3 linked regions of the Mytilus edulis genome follow. The protein of the gene in region 1 interacts with the protein of each later gene in a pairwise test. Links are inferred from orthologs where the notes say so. Each region holds a gene or a part of one and is shown on either strand. Other genes may lie near its edges.

What was found.
Region 2: the proteins of rac GTPase-activating protein 1-like (region 1) and anillin-like interact in a two-hybrid assay, tested with the Drosophila melanogaster proteins (2 studies listed by BioGRID). The link is inferred for Mytilus edulis from reciprocal best matches to the Drosophila melanogaster genes tum and scra.
Region 3: the proteins of rac GTPase-activating protein 1-like (region 1) and protein ECT2-like interact in a two-hybrid assay, tested with the Drosophila melanogaster proteins (2 studies listed by BioGRID). The link is inferred for Mytilus edulis from reciprocal best matches to the Drosophila melanogaster genes tum and pbl.

The regions. Positions count from the first base shown.
Region 1 is NC_092345.1:92,660,124-92,667,589, forward strand, and holds the start of rac GTPase-activating protein 1-like, read left to right. Parts: upstream 1-4,448; 5' UTR 4,449-4,572; exon of another isoform or gene 4,573-4,589; intron 4,590-7,466. Other genes in the region: actin-related protein 2/3 complex subunit 2-like, read right to left, coding at 960-1,018, 1,428-1,462, 4,188-4,261.
Region 2 is NC_092348.1:40,061,373-40,068,614, reverse strand, and holds the start of anillin-like, read left to right. Parts: upstream 1-4,233; 5' UTR 4,234-4,358; coding exon 4,359-4,376; intron 4,377-5,612; coding exon 5,613-5,760; intron 5,761-6,468; coding exon 6,469-6,597; intron 6,598-7,121; coding exon 7,122-7,242. Other genes in the region: acyloxyacyl hydrolase-like, read right to left, coding at 197-288, 1,022-1,121, 2,564-2,720, 4,020-4,140. UniProt on the Drosophila melanogaster protein: Required for cytokinesis. Essential for the structural integrity of the cleavage furrow and for completion of cleavage furrow ingression and proper formation of the midbody.
Region 3 is NC_092346.1:78,100,347-78,108,372, forward strand, and holds the start of protein ECT2-like, read left to right. Parts: upstream 1-5,017; 5' UTR 5,018-5,071; coding exon 5,072-5,114; intron 5,115-8,026. Other genes in the region: octanoyl-[acyl-carrier-protein]:protein N-octanoyltransferase LIPT2, mitochondrial-like, read right to left, coding at 948-1,186, 1,738-2,209, 2,328-2,336.

The DNA.
Region 1 (7,466 bases):
CAGCTATTTTGCTATACAGATAAAGCTATACGTATAAACGTTAGTTTTATACGCCAATGACCTCAACTAACCTATAAGCCCCGCCTACTTACCGGAACTATTGTATTTCATCAACAACGTCACGTCACAACCATGACAACGTGTAGTAACAATGGTCAAACCTTTATAAATCTTAACTTGTTATGTCTTCAAATTGGTAATTTGTATAGCATGTTTATTAAATATTATTAATTAAATTCATTTTCCCTTTCTAATTCCTTAAATTGTCAATGTTTTACCGCCTAGACTACGCTCATAGGGAAATACCCCAAAATGGTACCACAAGAGGAAAATTCCAAACACTTTTTGTAACAATATTTGTTACATATTTTTATTTTTTTTATCGATTTCAGTATAAAAACAATATGCATATAGTGTCTTGAAATATGCAATTTATTTGTATTCGGCACGAAACAAGGGAAATGCTCGGTATAACCTTGCATTTCCCCCGTTTCTAAGCCTCATACAAATAAATTTCATATTACAAGACACTATATGTATATTGTCTAACTATCATTTATTTCACCCAATATTTGAAAAGTGTAAAAGTTTTAATAAGAGAGCACACACTGAAATATCTAACTAGGCTACTTGTTATTGAATTCATGTTGAAAGTCTGTAACATGAATGTTTTACTACAACTACATGTATTAAGTAAACTTATCAATGTTCTGTGATAATGAGGTCAAGGTCAGATGCACCAGGCCAGACAGACATGTACACCTTACAATCCAAATATAGTTAACCTGTTGCTTGTAGTATCTGATAAACTGGAAAAAGTTGGGGAAACTGATCATAGACAAATAAACCCTGAAAATGAAGTCAATGTAAGATAAGAAAAAGCCTGTCTCTCAAGTAATTAAATGGTTTCTTGAGACACAAAAGGCTCAAAACCAATAAATAAGCCCACATATACTTACTATTATTTTGGTTTTGTCATTTTCTGGGTTTGATATATGGAATAAAACTCCATCGAAATCTGTAAAACATAATTGAAACAAAAAATTAACACAAAAAATGTTAAAAAAAACTATTTAAGTGATTACACTGTCATACAAATATTATCTTGCATCTGGAGTGATTTTCATGAAGTTTTAGGATGCATAAGTAAAAAAAACAAAGATAGCACATATGCAATAATAATTTATGAAAATAAAGTGATGCTGTGTTTATTTTATTTAACAGCCGAAATAAGTTGATGTCATGAGTAATTTTGTTAACATTAATGAATAAGCATGATAAGTGCAGAGAAATATTTTAGATATATTCTTTTTCTTTGCTATACATGATATACATCTACACCTTTAAACATATTTAAAAGTGTATTAAAACTATCTTATGATTTTACAGATTTCACAAGAGATCAAATTGAAATAAAAAAAACGTACCTGCAACAGTGACATCAATTGATTCTGGTTTGTTTCTAAAATAAAAAAATAAATAAAATAAAACTTCACTAAGACGATGCCCTAAAGGAGGCTTGAATTAAGTGCAGCAACATTAAAGTGTGATTTACAGTATATAGTTCATGTACCAATATACTATGCAAAAGAACAAAATTTACTTTTGGGTAGTTAGGCTACTGAAGGTTCTTTTACTGTAGTTTTAATCAGTTTTCCCAAGTACATTCATATTAGAAAACTGAAGTGATTCAAATATAAACATAAACATGATGAACATAGAGCTCAATCTCAACAGACTGAATAATATCTAAAGCAAATATGTAATGTTAAAAGGAAACTAAAATGGAATCAACACATCAGATGTATAAATTTTAGATGAAGTGTTAGTTTCCATACTTCTCATAAAAAAATTTTGTACTTAGGTTTGTAACAGACTAATTGTTTAAAGTCTATTCTGTGTTGTACGGGGTTTCCGCTGACGGTCGCCATTTTAGCAATTTGCGAAAAAATAATAATTGTGGCGATTAAAATTCGTCATTGGCGAAAGAATTTGGCGAAATTAATATATATAACTATTTATTTTCAACCATCTCGTTTATTTACTTTTTATTTCAGGTTTCTCGGAATTTACCTGATCAGACAATTCTCGGAATTCACCTTGAACTCGATAAGATTTTGACAGAAAATCAATAATCAGCTGATTGCATTTGATAGCAATCGACATCAAAGGACTAATTAATAAAGGTGTTGATTGACAAAATGATATGGTTAAATGGCGCCCGTCACATGTTTCATCAAGGATTATTAACCACTTTGCGACACACATGTTTGAAGCAAAATTTTGACGACTCTTCTCCTTCTTTTAATGATAGTCCAGAAAAGAAAACTGTTGTTATGACAAAAAATGTACAAAAGCCAGAAAGGTCTCTGATTTTAAAACTATCATTTAACTTCGATATCGATAATTGATTTGAGTGGGTACTTCAAAGTCGTTTCAGTGACACACGTGCGAAAAAAAAAAGGAAAATTTTAAAAGAAAAATATATTTGTGTTACTTGGCCAAAAAAAAAATAATGTGGCGAAAAAAAATATTGTTTTGGCCAAAGAGGTGGCGAAAAAAATAATTGACCCAGGGGAAATCCTGGTGTTGTAAACCTTTATATTAATGAAGCACTAAAATCAACACAAAAACTTGTTAAAGTCTTAATCATACTTGCAGAAAATTCTATCTCAAAGTCCAATTGGAAAAATGGTTTCAGCATTGTAATAGGAAGGGGTCACAGATTTTTTTTTTAAATAACCTTTCAAGACGTCAAAACTATTTGGACTAATGAGTAATGAAAGGGGAAATCATCATAAATTTTTCCTAGGCCTTATCAAAACAAACTTTTGTCTAAACAGTTAATGTTAAGAATAATAGAAAATAGTGTGGGCAAAACAACCTGCGGTCAAACTGCCCAGGTTGTGAAGTGGAAACTTCTTAGAAGCCATTATTTGGTCAGATCATGTTTTTTCGTATATCATATGAATTCATATAAATTTTAATGCATTCTTTTTTAATGGAAATTGTGATGTCACAATGCATTCTCAATAAACGTATTTACACTTTAGGTATTTAGCTGAATTTTGTCTCCAAATGACCGTAGATCGCCTCCGAATAACCTTTTGATGTCAAGCAACAATCACTTTTTTATTGTGACGTCAATTTTTTTGAATTGTTATGTCAAAGTTTACGGGAACCTGTGTGATTCTACGTAATGGCGGACAAATTTCCATACAAGTGTAAATACGTCTATAGTGCAATAACCAATGAGACGAAGATACTATTTTAATTTTTTTTTAATTTATAGATATAGGAAGATTTGGTGTGAGTGCCAATGAGACAACTCTCCATCCAAATAACAATTTATTAAAAGTAAACCATTATAGGTCAATGTACGGCCTTCAACACGGAGCCCTGGCTTACACCGAACAACAATCTATAAAGGGCCCCAAAATTACTACTGTAAAACAATTCAAACAGGAAAACCAATGGTTTTATCTATATAAAAATCGAGAAACGAGAAACACATATGAATTACATAAACAAATGACAACTACTGTACTGTGTACTGTGTACATGTACATCAAATTCTTTATTTAAAGTCGAGTTGCATTCCAGACTTACATTGTAGGACTACAAGTCATCCTACGATTTTGTTAATACATATTTTCGAACATCCTGGCACTTTAAATTTCTAGGAGGTGAAATTCTCGGGATTTTACCTCAAACTCTATGGGAAAATACAATTTTTAATTCCAATTTAAAACCAAACGGTAAAATTTATCACACAGATTTTTAAAACACATGTCTATTATGATAAGGAGATTTGAAAACACGATCTCAAATTTAATTTTAATGATTCAACAAAAAATTAATTGAGTTTTAAGTTTGTGTACCTATATATGGTAAAACCCGAAGATTTGTCACCGCTTCAACTCCAATATTCAAATAGATAAACACAATGTAATTATCTGATTGGTCAATCTTCAGCTGTGATGCAAACATGAAATTATGTATATTGTCAATTTTATAGATCTTGCATTGTTTATATTTTTTGCTGTAAGTGTAATGCCAATTTATTGCATTATACGGGTAGTACTGATACTGTGATACATCGAAAGAACACGGAAGCATGTACTATACCGGGTTTATTTGTAACGCCCTAAAACTATATCCCTATACAAATCTAATGAATCTATTACCCTTCTTTTGCATTTTTGAATCTTAAATTCAGTGTTTCTTCAACAATTCGGTTATGAAATTCAAGCAAAATCATTTTAGCAGTGACTTATTCCTCTGAAAGAAGGGTGGGTTATTCCTTATTCCGGAACTGTTGTTGATTTCCAACCTTGCCTTTGTAACACTTCTTTTCATTGGCCAATTTTTGTACTGGTTACCGGAGACTTGTAAAATTATTGCGTTTGCTCTAAGTGTGAATCAAATAATTGCCTTACCAGATGGCAGTTTTGATAAAGGTAATTTTATTGGATAATCTAATTCTGATTTGAAAACAGCCGGGAAGACGGAAGTTGCCTTTAAGGCTTTATCAAGAACTTTTGAATGACAATAGTTATAAGTAACAGTTAGGTATACTAAAAACATAGGTATTTAAAAGTAGAAGAATATTATTGAAAAATTTCATGGGTCATTCAAAGAAATCCATGGTAAAAAAACGCCCACATCGGTCACAGAGACTCGGTGAGACAAATGGAGAGACAGGCCATAACACAAATCATTGTGTACTGACTCATTCTTGGATGAAAAATAAAATTTTAACACTTAAACAGAATTACATGTCACAGGGTAATATGGCCACTTAATCTTTGTAAATTAAAATAGGGCGTTGAATATGTGACGAAATATAATGTTGCAAACCATTTATTTCACACTGAAAGTACATAAAATATTAATTATAATAAACATTTATTTCAAATGTTAACTTGAAGTTTCCTTCTAAATTGAACTATGAATTGGATAGAAGTACATGCATGTTAAGGCCTAAAAAAAATGTGATTACCTGAAAGTAGGGAAAAAGTTAGGGTGTCCCTTATGTAGCGTGCATGCTTAAGTGTGTGAAACTCGCATTAGTACGAGTTCACCGTATATATAGTGCTAGAAAAAGTGGCGGGTTGCATGCATAATAACTTCGTGCAGAGTAGTATATAGAGTAAAGTCTTTTTCTAACTGTCCGTCAATGAATGAACGTAGTAAATATATAGTACACACAACATATAGTGTAGTACTAGTATATAATTGTACTCTAATAAATAGCTACGGTGACATACAAATGTACATATATCCTTATCTATCTCCATTTCCGTATTTACCTTTGCACATGAACGAGGTAAACAACTGTAATGGTGGTCACTTTGTTTACTTGTCTATATTCTATTTATTTGGGGATATTGGTTAACTTTAGAATTACTTATAGTTCCGTAACTCTTTCTTCCGAGACCGGCCATGAAATTATCCTTGTCGGGACTTCCTGTTCTGGCACGTGCCCGGCCGGGCTCGTTGTCCATAGGAACTATAAGTATGACGTCACTCACCGGGTTCTGGGCAGTCTACATTAAGGATTTAAAATGAGCAGACGCTCATATCGTTTGGCTTTCAAATATGGAACGTTATAAGGACAAGTAGACTAGCCACCACCGTATTTTAGTATATTTATTCATGTAATCGTATGTTCAACCATAATGTATGTCTTCAAATAAACATCTTGTTTATATTTACGTAGTTTTACGTACTTTGTCCAATATCCCAGAACTTGGGTAGACAACGGGAAAACGAAGCCAGTGGAAACTTCCACTCCCGTTACATTGGGGGCTCGTCCGAGGGATATTTGAGGACAATAACTTAAACAAACATTGTGTTTGTACATTATTTCGGCGATATGGTCGGAATAAAAGGTATTTTTGTATCCCTAGGAGTCAAAATCGAACAGTTTATTGTTCGTCTGCTTGTCATTTCCGCTGTTTGTGCCGGTCCGACAATGACCAGTACTGCATGTAATATCGTTTTTTTACAACAATACAATTAAAGGTGACTTACCTTCAGAAAATGAAATTAGAAATCCAGATTTTAAATTCCAAATTGGAGCACAAGGTGAACATTTTGTTCACGTTCCAGAGGAAATATGCTGGTCTTGCATAAGAGGAAAACAAACACAACATTTTTGTGTACACCACATCAAAATAAAATATTTAGCTGCATTTTATCGTGGTAGAAAGCTTATTATGGCTTTTCAATTTCCAGGAAGTCGGCGATTGTTTACGCCATGTTTACAATATGACGTCATATTTTCGACGTCAAAGCACCTGCCATCTAAGGAATGTTTGTATGGAGGTACCAATGGGGAATACTCATTGTCGTTCTAACCATGAAAAAGTTGTTTAATTTGTTAGTTTTGTTTATTGGTTCGTATTCATATTTATTGTCATAAATGGATTTGGAAAATCAAATAATTTGTTTTGATTATACTTCAAATTGTTTTGGATTAAAAAGTACATTTTGTACTTTGTACTTGCATTTCTGTCATGCAGTATTGTCTGCATATCTATGTCTTGTCAGTGTGGATGTAATAACAATTATTTACCTTTCTTGCATGGAAAGGAGGGAATTAACAATACTCAAACTTAAAAGTGGTACCGTAAGTCATAGGCTATATTGTGCCATCATGGATATTATACTGGAAATTTGTCCGGTTTATTTTGATATTGTAAAAAGGACTAAAAGTACAGTTTTTGTACTCGGTTATATTTATAATATAATATCTTGATATTTATTTTAACGTTGATCTTTGGAAATAAACTGAATTATCTCAGTTTGGTGGGATTGTTACGTCAGTTGAGGAAAATAATACTGAATCTTTTCAGTTGCTAAGCAATGTGGCTTAGGTAAATGTAGAAATTGTGGATATAGCGAGGATTTGGATTAAAATGACATTTTTGTCATACAGCTGGAATAGGGTTGTCTGGTACGAGTTGTGACTAGAATAAAGATAATAGAAGAACGTACACTCATTATCTTAGCTGTTGTTGGAAGCTGCTTTCGGTGGTGTATACATATAGAGGCAATTTTGGAAATACCTTAGGTGCTAGAATGGCGCGAGAATAGGTGTATATTTTGCGTATACATTTTTATTGTAAACCTTAATTGGTTCACCATGGGTATGTTGTCCACATGACTAAGAATATTGTTTGGGGATTGCTGGAATACAAGGAATGATTTATTATTACAGTTCAATTGTTTTATATGACTTTCTAATTTTTGAATATATTTAATAAACAAACAATCAGTTTGTATGGATTTCAGTATAGAAATGTGTGTTTTATATGGTTAAAGTAATACCATGGGCTATATGCTTTCGGTGACCAATAAAATTACATATTGGGGCACCCGATCAAGTGGTGCAGTACTCGTGTATGATAGACTTTTAAAGACTCTTGGTGAGTCAGGATTTTATAAGAAGAATGTGCTTC
Region 2 (7,242 bases), on another chromosome or scaffold:
ATAATAATTGAGATTCAAACCGGGGATAAATTGCTGATTGATTAATAAAAGTAACATCATATTGCATTACAGACATAAAGTATTTAGTTCCTGCTTAAATTGTGGCACCCACTGTGTTGCTCTTCAGATGCAAAAATGTGTTCCATGTAATTTTTGTGATTGGCCATATTGACCAGGTAAATTGATAACTTCTTACTTGTCTATGAGTTTACAAATCTCTTTAATTCCAGGCAGTTCACATATGTTAGGAGCTGCCCTCTTCCTTCTTGCATTGAATACTCGGCTAACCTATATGGGAAAACAATCTATATACTATAAATTCAGAAATTATTGGGATGTTTATACTAATGAGAATAATGCGACTAGATGCCTTATGCAATAGTAAGAAGTGGCATTATGATATCATATGCATATGTCTGTACTCTGAAAAAAGTAAAAACACAAAAATACTGAACTCCGAGGAATATTCAAAAAGGAAAGTCCAAAATCAAAGTCCAAACACATCAAACGAATGGATAACAACTGTCATATTCCTGACTTGGTACAGGCATTTTCTAATGTAGAAAATGGTGGATTGAACCTGGTTTTATAGCTAGCTAAACCTCTCACTTGTATGACAGTCACTGAAGGCAACTTTTCATGAATCACAATAATTAATCTTGCATTTTCATTCATTTATAAAAAAAAAATGGCAATAGTAAATGCATGCAATTAGTCATAAAGGTGGATTATTGCATGTGAGGTAAGTATTTTAGGTCATAATAAACAAGACTTTCTAAATTATTTTTTTAACATAATTTGATCATTTGAAACACTTTCTTAAATACGTCATCATTTCTTGCTTAAAATTTTTTAAATCGTAAACAGAGTTTTTTTTCACTGATTGAAATACTTCATATAGTTTCTTGAAATTAGATCAAAGCATTCTTAATCTTTTACACATTATGTGAATATACAGATAGACAATGATTAATAAACATAAAACATCATGTCTATGAAGGGCATTATTGAAATAACATACCTTTGGTTTTGGAAACAGGTGGCACTGTTCTTCTCCTGTATCAGTGAAGCAAAAACCAAGTCCTTGACAGGCTTCATCTGGATTGTATTTTGCTGGTAATCTAAAAATAAGATAACAATAAATTTAGAGTTTATCAATTACCTACATGCCAAATAATTTTGTTTTACAAAATTAGTATAAGGGACAGGGATAAGTACCAATACCATAGGCGGATCCAGGGGGCCCTGATGCCCCCCCCCCCCCCATTGTGGGAAAAATTTGGTTGGTTATATAGGGAATTACTGAAGCATGACTGGAGCAGGCCCTCCCTTATGAAAAGTTCTGGATCCGTCACTGAATACATGTACTATGGAACAAAAAAATCTTCAAAGAATAAACAATGAGTCTACAAAACATACACTCTTTGTGCAACCTGACTAAATTACATGTCAAACAATTTGAAAACTCAAAATTGAAATACAAAGGTTTTCCTACTACCTATAAGGTGTAAATGACCTAGCTTAGTTAGATTTGACAAACTTTAAAAAAAAAAAAAAAAAAAAAAAAAAAAAAGGTTTATAATGGCCTTCAACTTTGTAATTAGGTTAACCTTCTAAATATTTGGTTCAAGTGCCACTATTAGAGATTATATAGACCAGATGCATATCTGGCATACTAGTTTATAAGCCTGGTTTCTTTGATGATATTTTCTCATGAATAATGTCCTCTCTGTAAATCCTGTCACTAGTTACATGGCAATAACAAACATCAGGAGCCTGTAATTCAGTGGTTGTAGTTTGTTTATGTGTTACATATTTGTTTTTCGTTCATTTGTTTACATAAATAAGGCCGTTAGTTTTCTCGTTTGAATTGTTTTACATTGTCTTATCGGGGCCTATAATAGCTGACTATGCGGTATGGGCTTTGCTCATTGTTGAAGGCCGTACAGTGACCTATAGTTGTTAATGTCTGTGTCATTTTGGTCTTTTGTGGATAGTTGTCTCATCGGCAATCATACCACATCTTCTTTTTTATATCTATTTGACCACAAAGCACAGAATATTATGGGGACGAAGTCCCCAATAACAGTAGAAAATTCAATAAAAAAAAAAATTAGGAAAATTTCCCGAATTTTTCATTGTACTAATGAACTCAAAATCGTTCAATTTTTTTTATGTCATGTTTTGAAATCCCGGACCTGCGCAGAAATGTACAATGTACTTCCTTTTTCCGGTCTCGTTTGTATGAAACTTTGAGTAAAATATATATTTATCAGTCTAGTATAAAATAGGAAGGAATGCGCAATACCAATTTCATTTTTAATAATTCCTTGATATGAAAAAATGTTACCTGATGATAGCGTTTCTTTGTTTACATTGCATATGACGTCATGACTTAAATAACGTCACAACTAAAATCCCTAACAAAAGAACCAAAATCGGAAACGTTACGGTATTTCCGTTTCTTTTTCTTAACAAATATATAAATGTAAGTTACAAAAAAATAATTCATACAGACTTCGTCCCCATTTACAGGTAATGCCTGCCTCATATTAATACTTACACACGTATAATCTCATATGCAATGTAGTCTACAAATACTTTACATGGTATTGCAACTGCAGGTGGTAAATAATTGCAGAACCTTTCTAAAGATTTTGTTACTGTTTCATTGTGTATAGTTGCTAGTTGTTCTCCAAATGTAAAAATAACAGTACATGCTGAAAAAAGAACATTTTCATTTTTAAACACATTTAGCTTTACATTTTCATTGTACATCTAACGTCCCCAATCTAGAAAGACAAATTCAAAACACATCGATCTTTTGATTTACTACTTGATGTTAAGCAAGAAATAATAAACCAATCCATCTTCTGTATTTGTACAAGTCTACAGAGATGTTCAGAAAAAAAGAAAAAAAATCACTTTAAGTTTATGTCAATGACTGTCTGACACTAAGATAAATTCAAATACCTTATTTCTGACATATACTTTTATATATATGTGAAATAATTAAATAAGATTGCAAACATGTGAACAATAATCAAGACAACCATTTCTAACAATTGTTCCAAAATAGTCAAATCTTAAAAGTTAGTGTTTGACGATACCTTCTTTCCTTTGATTTTTTTGTTTCAGTAATAAGAGTCTAAGACCTAATTAGACCTTTTTATATGTAGGGTCTTTCTTCATCTTAAAATGCTTATTCTAAATTTTTGCCTTGGCTCCTTCCTGTGACAATAAGGGATAAAAAATAAAAATCGAAAAATACCTTTTAGCAGACAGCATCATTATTATGGGGATGAAGTCCCCTATAACGGTTGAAAAATAATTAAAAAAAAAAAAAAAAAAATCGGGAAAATTTCCCAAATTTTTCATTCTACTTATGAACTCGAAATTGTTAACTTTTTTTTCAGTTTTTTTCAAATCCCTGCATCTGCGCAGAAATCTACTTCCGATTCCGGTCTTGTTTGCATGAGACTTTGAATAAAATATATATTTATCAGTCTAAAAAAGGAAATCAATACTTATTTTTTTTTTTTAATTTGTTTGTTATAAAAAAAACGTTACTTGATGACAGCGTTTCTTTGTTTACATTGAATATGACTTCATAACTTAAATAACGTCACAACTAAAATCCCTAACAACAAAACCTAAATTACGATATTTCCCTTTCTGTTTTTAAAACATTTGTGAATTAAAAAACAATCATACAGACTTTGTCCCCATTCACAGGTAATGCCTGACTATTATTAGGACTACTATTATGTGTGCAAACAACTAGTATAACAAATATTTGTTTTGTCATCAGTATACCATGTAAAATAGAATAAAATAAAGTATATTGAAGAGTTAACAAATAAGTTAATTCTATCAGTTTACAAAAGTACTAAAACAGACTTTGTCCTCTATCAGATAATAGCTGTCTAGACAGATATGTAACTGCTGTAGTAAAATAATCTGACCCACTGTGCAATACTATATCATAAATGAGTATCTAATTATCAATTGAAACTTACTGGCACAGTTGGTACCACCATTCGCGCCGAAATTTAGAAAGTTTCTCGATCTAGATGCTTCTGAACCATATAAGCATATAACAAAAACAAGGACAACGGCAACTGCTTTCCCAAGTGACATTTCTTTGGATTTTTTTAACACCTTCTGCAAAGTCACATGACCACCACGTGACACCAATTTCAAAGATCACTTACGAAAACGCATTGTAGATCGAGATCAAAATATTTGAATTTTCTCGCAGATGTTCGAGATTTCACGTTGTTTTGTACCGCCAAATTTGAATTGGAATGGCTAATGTTACCGAAAATATTTGAACATAAACAGAATTTGTATTTATAATGGACCCGTATACAGAGGTAAGTAAAAACTACAGAACTGAAAAGTAATGAAATTTGTATTGTCTTAGTTGTGAACATCACACAACTCACCAAATGAAAAATATTGACCAGACGAGGCGTTGTTTTGAATATTTGATCATATTTGCATTGTTGAAAATTCAAAATAAATAACATGTGCATGGTTGGATCTAGCTATTTTTAAAAGTGGGGTTCCAACCCAGGAGGAAGGATGAGAGGGTGGGGGTTCAATCATATGTCCCTATTATTATTAAAATCCATTGATCATCCAAAAAAAGGGGGGTGTCCACCTGGAAACCCTCCCCTCCCGCTGGATCTGCCACTGATGAGTATGATTTGTCTGTAAACATGATAAGTCAAACTTATTTCAAATTCCACCTAATAACGAATGCCAGAATTTAATCTTAAATTTGAATAACCTTATAGTTATATGGACTGGAGGGGTGTTCATTTAATAGTAGACAAATTACTCGTCATTAGTCATCACTCACTCTTTAGTCTAGACAAGTTTAGTAGATTTACAGGGGGTCTGTCTTATCCAGCTTATATCATTGTAATGATTACGCTTGTAATTTCAAGTTTCGTGCTTGACATGTTTTCTGTGTCAATGCTTTCAAACAATCTGTCAATCCTGCATCATGCTATATGCTATTGTTGTGATCCCGAGTATAACTCAAGACCGATATATACCTTGGATGGTCGTTCCTGCAGTCAGGAACGGCCGATTGCTGTTCTAGTGAATTCGTCTGCTGTATAGCCATTAATAGTTTCAACCGGAAGAGAATGGTTTCTGGGTAGTCCTTCGGACATCTCTAGATGGTCTGTCTGATGACCTAAAACTAACCCTCCGGATACTACACTATATTTTTTTATAGACTCCTATCAGACTCACTTAACTTTGCTTTCAGGATTTGGAGGTCTGGCACCTTTTTTGTGTGCCCAATCCATGTAGAATCACTTTCATCTACATGTACATAATTTTTTTGAGACCTTTGAAGAATCAGGATTTGTCTCTATAAATGATAGCCAAAAATGAAGGTTTGATGCTTGACGAGAAAGGCCATTACTACCCTCTTAATTGGTGCTTTCTCTCCAAATGAATAACATCTAGAATTGGTATCTTGTAATATGTTTTAACAATAAATGAATATGTCTGTTTAATTTTGATGCTTCACAACAGAAAATAATGTTAAAGCTTGAAACTATTAATTAAGGTAAACTTATTTCTTCTTTCAGCAACTTCTAGAGAGGACGAGACAGAGAAGAGAGATGTTGAATCAGAAAATGGGGAAAACCCCTGAAGTAACACCTAGAAAAAGATTCCTGCAGGATAATACCACAGACAATTTACCACAATCTGATACTAAAACTCTCATGAAAGAAGGTATTTAAATTGTTATATGATACAAGTAGTATTGGTAGTTAAATATTTTAACTCATGTACAAGTATGTCATGCAAATATACACAAAAAACCTACATGCTTGTTTTCTTTCTACTGGCTGCAGATGAATAGGATAGGTTGGTACATAGTAGGTAAAATGTTTTCTTTTCTTCAATAATTTGCGTTTGAAATATTGGGAAATTTCAAATGTTTTGGGCGTAACCAAAAATGTACATAAAATTTGTCTGGGAAGTAAGGAGACATATCAAGCAGAAACAGAACTATAAGTTAACATGTATAGTTTTAAGGGAAACCAATTTGCAGTTTTTAATAGATGTACATATATATCTTGACATATGCATATCTAGAAAACTGGGTTAAAGATATGAATATATTTCATGGTATCTGGCCAAATTAATTTTGACTTTACTGTCACAGTGTTTTAAAGTGACATGCTGAATCACTGTGTCTACATGTATATGTCATTGTAGTGGTCATTTCAGTTCACTCTGTTTAACTGTCATGGAGATTTGTAGGGAATTGCAGAATCACTTTGTAATGTACAAAGGAAAACAAGAAGGTAGATAAATAGAATATTTAAATTGTATGAAACTTTGTACTTTTAAATATGCAAAAGAATTTATAATTGGGTTAATGTTGTGTTACAAATTTTTAATACCACTATTTCACAGTAACCATATTTTTTTCAGCATCCCCTGGCAAGAGACAGTGTGTGAGAGAAGATGAAATCAATATAAAGCCAGACACACCAGCTATTAGTAGTGTGAGATCTAGAATGCATAATTTGACACAACAGAGAACCGATTGGTCTTCAGGAGGTATGAAATAATCTTGTACACAATTTGCATTTCTTTGTAAAAATTAACATCATAAAAGTAGCTCAAAAGATAAGAAAAAAACATCAACCTGATTTGTGCAAATATTACATTATGTACATTAAATGAACAGTTATGACAGACTGCAAGTAATAACCACAGGAGTACTGTACAGATTTCTGATTTGATCAGGCCTAAATGTGGAGGAGCCAGGGTAATGCATGTTTGTGGGCACACCATGTCATAATCCCTTTTGAAATTTAGCTTCCATTCCATATTGTTTGAAGAATCGTTGCCTCTAACACAGGCAACAATAAAGATCAGCTAACGATTTTCACCCAAAAAATCTTACAGAAAAATATGTTCGACTTTAAATGTAATTAAATAGTAAAACAAATATTGGTCCAAGCCAAAAAAAAATCTATAAATGATTCCTCCCCACCCAAGATAAAAGCTAAAAAGAGTCCATCTGTTAAATTAAGAAAATGAAAGTTGTAATTAAAATGTTGGCATAATTTTGAATTTAGATGGAACAGATTCTGACAATTCACATCCTAAACCAGTTCCTAGGAAGTCTTTACAGAATTCCTTAGAGGAGGAAGTAGAACCTCCTAAAGTAGAAGGACAAAGGAGAGGGCGACTAGCTAA
Region 3 (8,026 bases), on another chromosome or scaffold:
CAGCTAATGCCTCTTTGGGGTTTTATGTTTTGTTCTGTTTTTCAAATACTATAAGCAATACATCAATTACAATTGGTGTAAGGAAAGATTATAAGTTGTACATATGATTTTGGCAAGTATAATCTGACCATGACCTCCTTTTCATGGTTCATTTAGTTGTTTTTTTTGGGTCTGTTTTATAATACTATAAGCTATTTGTCAACTATATTTGGTGTATAGATTGATTGTGAAGTAGTCATGTCTTTCTGGCAGGTGTCATCTGTCCTTGACCTCTTTTTCATGGTTCAATGTTCAATGTTTTTCTGGTTTAATCTGTTTCTTAGATGCTATTATTAATAAGGTCAACAATAATTGGTGTATGGAATGATTGTGACAATTATTGTAAATTTTTATGTCTGTCCGGCTTGGTTTATAAATTATCTGACTATGACCTCATTTTCACAGATCATTGTCAACTTTAAATAAAGGTGATATTTGTAGTTAAACATTTTCTTTAGGACTAATAACATTAAATCAATCCTGGTTGTTTAAACAGACAAGACATAACAGCCTGTGCACTTTTCATGTAATTTTTACCCAGAGAAGTGAAGGAAGATTCTTTTCTACAGCACCATCAAAGAGTCCTCACCTGAAGACACAATCACATTAAATGGGTCAATATCATTTTGTTTATTGTGTTGTTGGTTTGTTGTTCTATTGACACATATCTCCTGTTCATATCTTCACATCAAATTATTTTCAAAACATAGAATCTCTAATTAAATTCATATTCACAATTTTATAACTTCTTTCCAATAGATCAATTTGGCAAATATTTTTTTTATAAACAATTTATTTTCTTAGTCATAATGTTGGATCTATAAAAATGTGGAAATAAATAAAATATATTTTTTATATAAATTAAAACATGATTCATTGTTATATTATAATTATATACTTATTTTGTGTTAATATTCCTCTGTTTCTTTATCTATATACTTTAATTGACAATCAAATTGTCTTTGAAAATTTTCTAAAAATGGTTTTACAGCATCATTTATATTAATATCACAGCCCTTTTCTTTACTAAGAGACGTCACATCTTTTCCTTTTAATCCACAAGGTACTATATGTTTGAACCAGTTCAAATCAGTATTACAGTTCAAAGATACACCATGAGTTGTTACATATCTGCGACCATGAACACCTACAATATAATAATAATTGATAAAATATAAACAAATTATATTTGAGCATTGAGTTTAATGCTACAAAATTTACGAATTGTTTCTAGCACTCATTAATACACAAAAGAAAATCACACAGACTAGTAAACTCACAAAAAACTGGTACAATTCATTAATAATGGATGGATTGTTGTTTAATGTCCAGTGGCAAATTAAATGCATATTTGTAGAGTACCGGTACTAATTGAGAAATTCGTATGACGTTATGAAACATAAATTGTAGCTCAAAAATAAATATATTCATGAAATTTTAACTTCTGTAAACATGATAAAAAAAAATTTTTTAATCAAAAGTATACAAAACAAATAAAGTGTTTGATCATTCATTCCTGCATCAATTTTTAGTAATTTTCAACTGTGCAAAACATCAAAATGAATGTCTTTCACAAATAATGATCAATAATGGTTATAAAACCAAAAGTAAAACTTTTATTTTTGCTTAACATTAGCCATGATAGTGTATCTTGATGAATAGCTAATATTGATGGTAAAAAAGACCTTTCAGACTTACCAATAGCTCCAATTTTCCTATCTCCAATCCATACTCCTGTATCTTCTGTTGTATGGGCATTTAGACCATAATATTTACAAGTTCCAATCATTGTCTTTTCCATGGAACAAATATACCACTTCATATTTGGTGTAAAATATTTTAGATTTAAAATTGGATAAGCAACAAGTTGTCCTGGTCCATGATAGGTAATTAAACCACCTCTATCTGTTCGGCAAAATTCAGCACCTAGCTTTTTAAGTTTTTGTTCGTATTCTTCCGAATAGTCTTTAGATCTAATTCCAATGGTATAAACTGGGTTATGCTCTACAAGTAATACAACATTTTCTCCATTTGAACCGTGTACTCCTGCCATACTGTCTAAATGCTGTCGTGCAAATTTGGTCTGTACCTTATAAGCATCAAGGAATCCCATTTTTCCAAGATTTAATACACTCACAATCTTGCTGTAAGAGCTCATCATGACATTTGTCTGTAATGGAAAAAGCTCACATGTATTTTGATAATCATTAATGACATTATTCTAATACCGTAACTTGAAAAAAGATTGACGAATTGATATAATTTAATCTAACGTAATCAAGCTGTACCTTCTCCATTAGCTATTTTTCTACATTTTGTCAATAGCCTGACAGGTCATACATTTGAGGGTGGTAATGGGGATACTTTCATGACGATAAACGGTAAAAATGCTTGCCAAATGACGTTATTTGTAGTTTTTAGTGCGTGACAATAAAATGTACACTTGGTTTAGAGGATAAACCAGATGCTCCCCAGGGTGCAGCTTTATACAACCTCAGAGGTTGAAACCTGAACGGTTGGGCCAAGTATGGACACAACATTCAAGCTGGATTCAGCTCTAAATTAGATTGTGATTAAATAGTTGACACAGCATAGGTTTCTGACACAGAATGAATGTGGTCTAATGAACTTAAAATTTTTGTTTTGCCTTTGAGCAATTCACTTTGCCCCCCCCCCCCCCCCCCCCCCCCCCAATTTTTTTTGTTCACATCCCCCTTTCCTTTATTCCAAAACCAATCTCAATTCAAATTTCTAATGGAGTTTGCAAGAATAACTACTCATTTAAGTACATCACAGTCTTCACGCTGAACTGCTACATCTACAGGCCCGCAGCTCAATTTTAGAATTTTTTTTTTTTTTTTTTTTTTTAAATAATATCTTTATTGCACTTTTCTTTGCTGTTGTTACAAATTACTCGACCTACAGCGGAAATTTTTAGTTAGATTCTGTTGGCCTGTAGGTCTGATTTTTACAGGCCCAAGAGCAATTTCACCAGCCTGGGCTGCCCAGGCTGCCACTCGGCGTGAAGACTAACATCATAAAATATTAAAAAAAAAGTGCTTGTTATCACTGAATGGTAAAGATTGTTTTAATTTATCAGTTGATAGTAAAAGTGAATATACATTGTATATTGTATAAAACAATGATTTAAGTTGATTCAACTACTATTCTGGACAAAGAAAGATAACTCTAATTGAAATTTCTTGCTATTGCGCAATACTGTGCAATTAGATATTTCTTGCTATTGCGCAATACTGTGCAATTGAAAATACTTGCTAATGCACAATACTGTGCAATTGAAGATTTCTTGCTATTGCGCAATACTGTGAAATTGAAAATTTCTTGCTATTGCACAATCCTGTGCAATAATTGCCTCAGTACTGTGAAATTGAAAATTTCTTGCTATTGCACAATACTTAATATAATAATTTTGGATTCTGATTTGGACCAACTTGAAAACTGGGCCCATAATCAAAAATCTAAGTACATGTTTAGATTCAGCATATAAAAAAACCCCAAGAATTCAATTTTTGTTAAAATCAAACTAAGTTTAATTTTGGACCCTTAGGACTTTATAATGTAGACCAATTTGAAAACGGGACCAAAAATTAAGAATCTACATACACAGTTAGATTCGGTATATATATATCAAAGAACCCCAATTATTCATTTTTTGATGAAATCAAACAAAGTTTAATTTTGGACCCTTTGGACCCCTTATTCCTAAACTGTTGGGACCAAAACTCCCACAACCAATCCCAACCTTCCTTTTATGGTCATTAACCTTGTGTTTAAATTTCATAGATATCTATATACTTATACTAAAGTTATGGTGCGATAACCAAGAAAAATGCTTATTTGGGCCCCTTTTTGGCCCCTTATTCCTAAACTGTTTGGACCTCAACTCCCAAAATAATTACCAACCTTCCTTTTGTGGTCATAAACCTTGTGGTGTTTAAATATCATTGATTTCTATTGACTTAAACTAAAGTTATTGTGCGAAAAGTAAGAATAATGCTTTTTTGGGCCCTTTTTTGCCCCTAATTCCTAAACTGTAGGAACCAAAACTCCCAAAATCAATCCCAACCTTCCTTTTGTGGTCATAAACCTTGTGTCAAAATTTCATAGATTTCTATTTACTCAAACTAAAGTTTTAGTGCGAAAACCAAGAAAATGCTTATTTGGGCCCTTTTTGGCCCCTAATTCCTAAAATGTTGGGATCATAACTCCCAAAATCAATCCCAACCTTCCTTTTGTGGTCATAAACCTTGTGTTAAAATTTCATAGATTTCTATTTACTTATACTAAAGTAAGAGTGCGAAAACTAAAAGTATTCGACGCCGACGCCAACATGATACCAATATATGACCAAAAAATTTTCGTTTTGTGGTTGTATAAAAATAGTCTGACTTTGATTAATCTCGTTAAATTATTTCAAAAAATAACAGTAACGGTAATTATTTGAGACCTCTGACAAATCACGATAAGGATATTTTGACGAATCACGTTAAAAATTTTACCAATTTGATGCTTACGGTAGCCGAAAATGACCTTTTGACGCCTGACCCTAAAGGGCATTACTACCCTCAGATATACCCTCATAAATTATTGATTTTAATAGATCAAGTAAATGGTTGTAATTTTAGAGATGATATCCTAATAAATATTTTTTTTTAATTGAGTAGTTAAGATCACTAGTTGATAGCTGGGTCTATAAAATAAAAGAACAGAGATTCAGTGATTTCAGCTTTGCACATATTTATCTGTACATCGTGGATTTTGGATCAGAGAAAAATTAACGGCTAGGCTTGGGTGAAATGGAATTAAACAGAAATTACCAAATCTTCGAATTACCAGTAGGAATGTAATTCAGACGACCAAATTATTGGACCGGATTTGTATTTGTTGACATTTTTCTTGACAGCATGCTACTTCCTGTTTTTGTTTTGAACTATGGGAAATTGTCTTCAAATTCATTAGCCAATCAAAAATGCGGTTTGTTTGAACAGCGCCATTTTCAAGTGTGGAAACAATGTCGGAGTGTAAAACAAAGCCCGACGTACCCTTAGATGATGGCACGTTGTTATAAAACTTAAGTTAAAAAGCCTCATATTATATTCAATGTACCAATGATGTTATTGACGTAGACAAATCAGGGTTGCACTCTTGTCAGACACAACGATCCACAAAAAGCACAACCCACTCTTCTCTTTTTGTTTTCCAGTCTCGAGAACTAAATATAAATATTGTAATACTAGCCACTTTACTCGATTTATAAAAAAAAGATATGATATGAATGTCTGTGTGACCACTTTTCACCGGAAAAGAAAATATGTTGTATCTTCAATAGTGAGCAATGTCAAATCATAGATATAAAAGCCATATAGATAAAGTACTGGACTCACATCAAAAGCAGATATTTTCCGAAATTTTATCACCCTCTTATTAAATACATGTCACGCTTGGTATTAATTAGCCTTAATTAGCCTTTATTGGCAATTGCCGTCTATCGATATCTTGTAAACAGGGGCGGATCCAGGATTTTCGGTTAGTGGGGGCGCAAACTTAAATTTTTTATCGAAATTATTGAAATATTCTTCTAGAGAGGATGCAATTTAGATATCTTGCCAAGCGTGGCGAGAAATAAATATTTTGTGGTAAAATTAGCGTGAAATTGAAGTTTCAAGGTAAACCCGCATAAATCCACCCCTGACAATTTGTAATCACTATAATTAACAAGAAATCTGCGAGCTTCTATTCATTGACTCAATGATAGCTCACCGACCAATATAAGATTTTGAAAACAAGAATTTCTACTTTTGCCAGCGATTTTTAATTGTCTTTTCTTCTATTTCCGGAGGTCGTGTCAAACTTTTTATATACATTTCTACCGCATACAAGTAAAATCAGAATGAGGTCCTTGCGAAGATATGTTTATTTTCGTGGGATCCTATGTAATACGGTAGTACGGGTTGGGGGCGTTCCCCGTTTATGCATGCTTCGGCAAGGTAAACTTTACAGGTTGAAAGTGAGAAACACTAGTATATTGATATCATACAGAGATATTAAACAATGATACGAATCAATAAACGAACCTTTCGCTTGAACCAGCATTCCTATCTTTCATTAAGAAAGAATTTAAACAGGACCGTGCCATAATGAAATAACCAACCCAACCGCGGGTAGGGCACTTTCGACTACTTCGTGGAAAAGTGAGGTAGGGTTGTTTTTGAACTTATCAAAGCAATTGTTTATAAAATCCGCAACTACCATGTCACATTGTTTTACTTGAACTGCTAAAAGCCTATGATATTTTTCACCAAACGCAGTACCGCGATGAAGTATAATATATTTATAGAACTTATAAATAAACCGTAGGTCAGTTTATTAGTAATCACATTGATTCTGTTAAACTTACTGTTTTATATACTTCTTTGAATGTTAAAACAGATGCAATGCGACGAGATTAATATTCGTTGTCTGTTCAGATACTTTATTGAGCTGAGGACAACCCATGCTTTGCAAATTTTAGGGGGGGGCGCATGCCCAACACGCCCCCGCCTAAATCCGCCCCTGGTAAATTGTGAATCGGGGGAGTTATAAGTCATTCTTCGGACAAGTTCGGTAGTTTTGTTATCTTCCTGTACATAATTTTTTGGAATGTTTATATACGTGCTAAAAATTCATGTCGAGGTGATCGATGTATGATTACATTGTTCTTATAAGTCCCTAATATGCATCAAATATTTTCCACTGAACGTTGTGAAATCAAGGATCATATAATAAATCACTGTAATAGAAAATACACACAACTAGTTTCATACCAAATCAAAGACGTTATAAAAATAAAGTACACAAAAAGTATGTTGACAACTAAACGGTCAGACTTGCAGAGGGTTACATTTGTATATAGCCATATTAATAGTACGAATCACACCCTTAACAAAATTCTAAGAAGGATATATATTGTTTACTTCAAAAATGAAATAGACAATCAGTTTAAACCATCCGCTATTTAATTGCAAATCAAGCAAAAAAAAATGTAAGCAGAAAGGTATTATATATAAAAGAAAAAAATCAGAGACATGATAATTGTGCTATTTCCCAATTATTTAATGTATGTCAACCACTAACAATTTCTTCACCAAACGGCGTTTTAAAATTTATAATGTATTCATTTTTTTCTCTGTATTTTTCAACACTTGTAAAAGAAAAAACATTTTGTGTTCTAAAATATAATAATTTCGTTTTTCTGGTCTAAAATGTGATTACACTGTTTTGAAACTTGATAAAAAAAAATTGTCTTTAATAAAACGCATAGAAAAATTTGACCAGGTTTGACCTCTTACCCATGTATACCATCAGTAGTTGATGTGTCTCTTCTTGTCAATCATACAGGTCTTATTTCCCGAGTGCAACCGATGCAAGTGCTATGGCAATTTAATTTTAAGTGCCTGTTCAGTCCATTTTCCATAATTTCTCTATTTTATTATCTCCCCCCCCCCCCCCTCCCCCCTTGCTGCAGATCATAAATGTAAAATGATAAAAACTAACGACCTTTAATTAATGTAAAAAAATGAATGAAAAACAAAAGACACACTGCAACAAACGACAACCACTCAATTACAGAACAGGGATCTCCATGGCCTGTTTAACGATGGCGCCCCGCCATCGTTCAAATGTCTTGCGCCATCGTCAAATGACTTGCTCCATCGTTAAATTGCCTTGCGCCATCGTTAAATTGTCTCCGCCATCGTTCAAAACTTCATCGTATTTTGTAGCCCGACGCCATTTTTTTTATCAATTATAATCAAATGCATGTATTTGCATAACCTTAGGCTTTTTATGTTATAATCCAGTACAGTTCTAACGCCTGGGGGATATCCGGATTAAGATCGCTAATCACTTGTACCTGAGCTTGTACAGGTAGATCAACAAACTAGACAGGAGAATACTATCTGAGGATAGACGATCCATTTGTCGAATT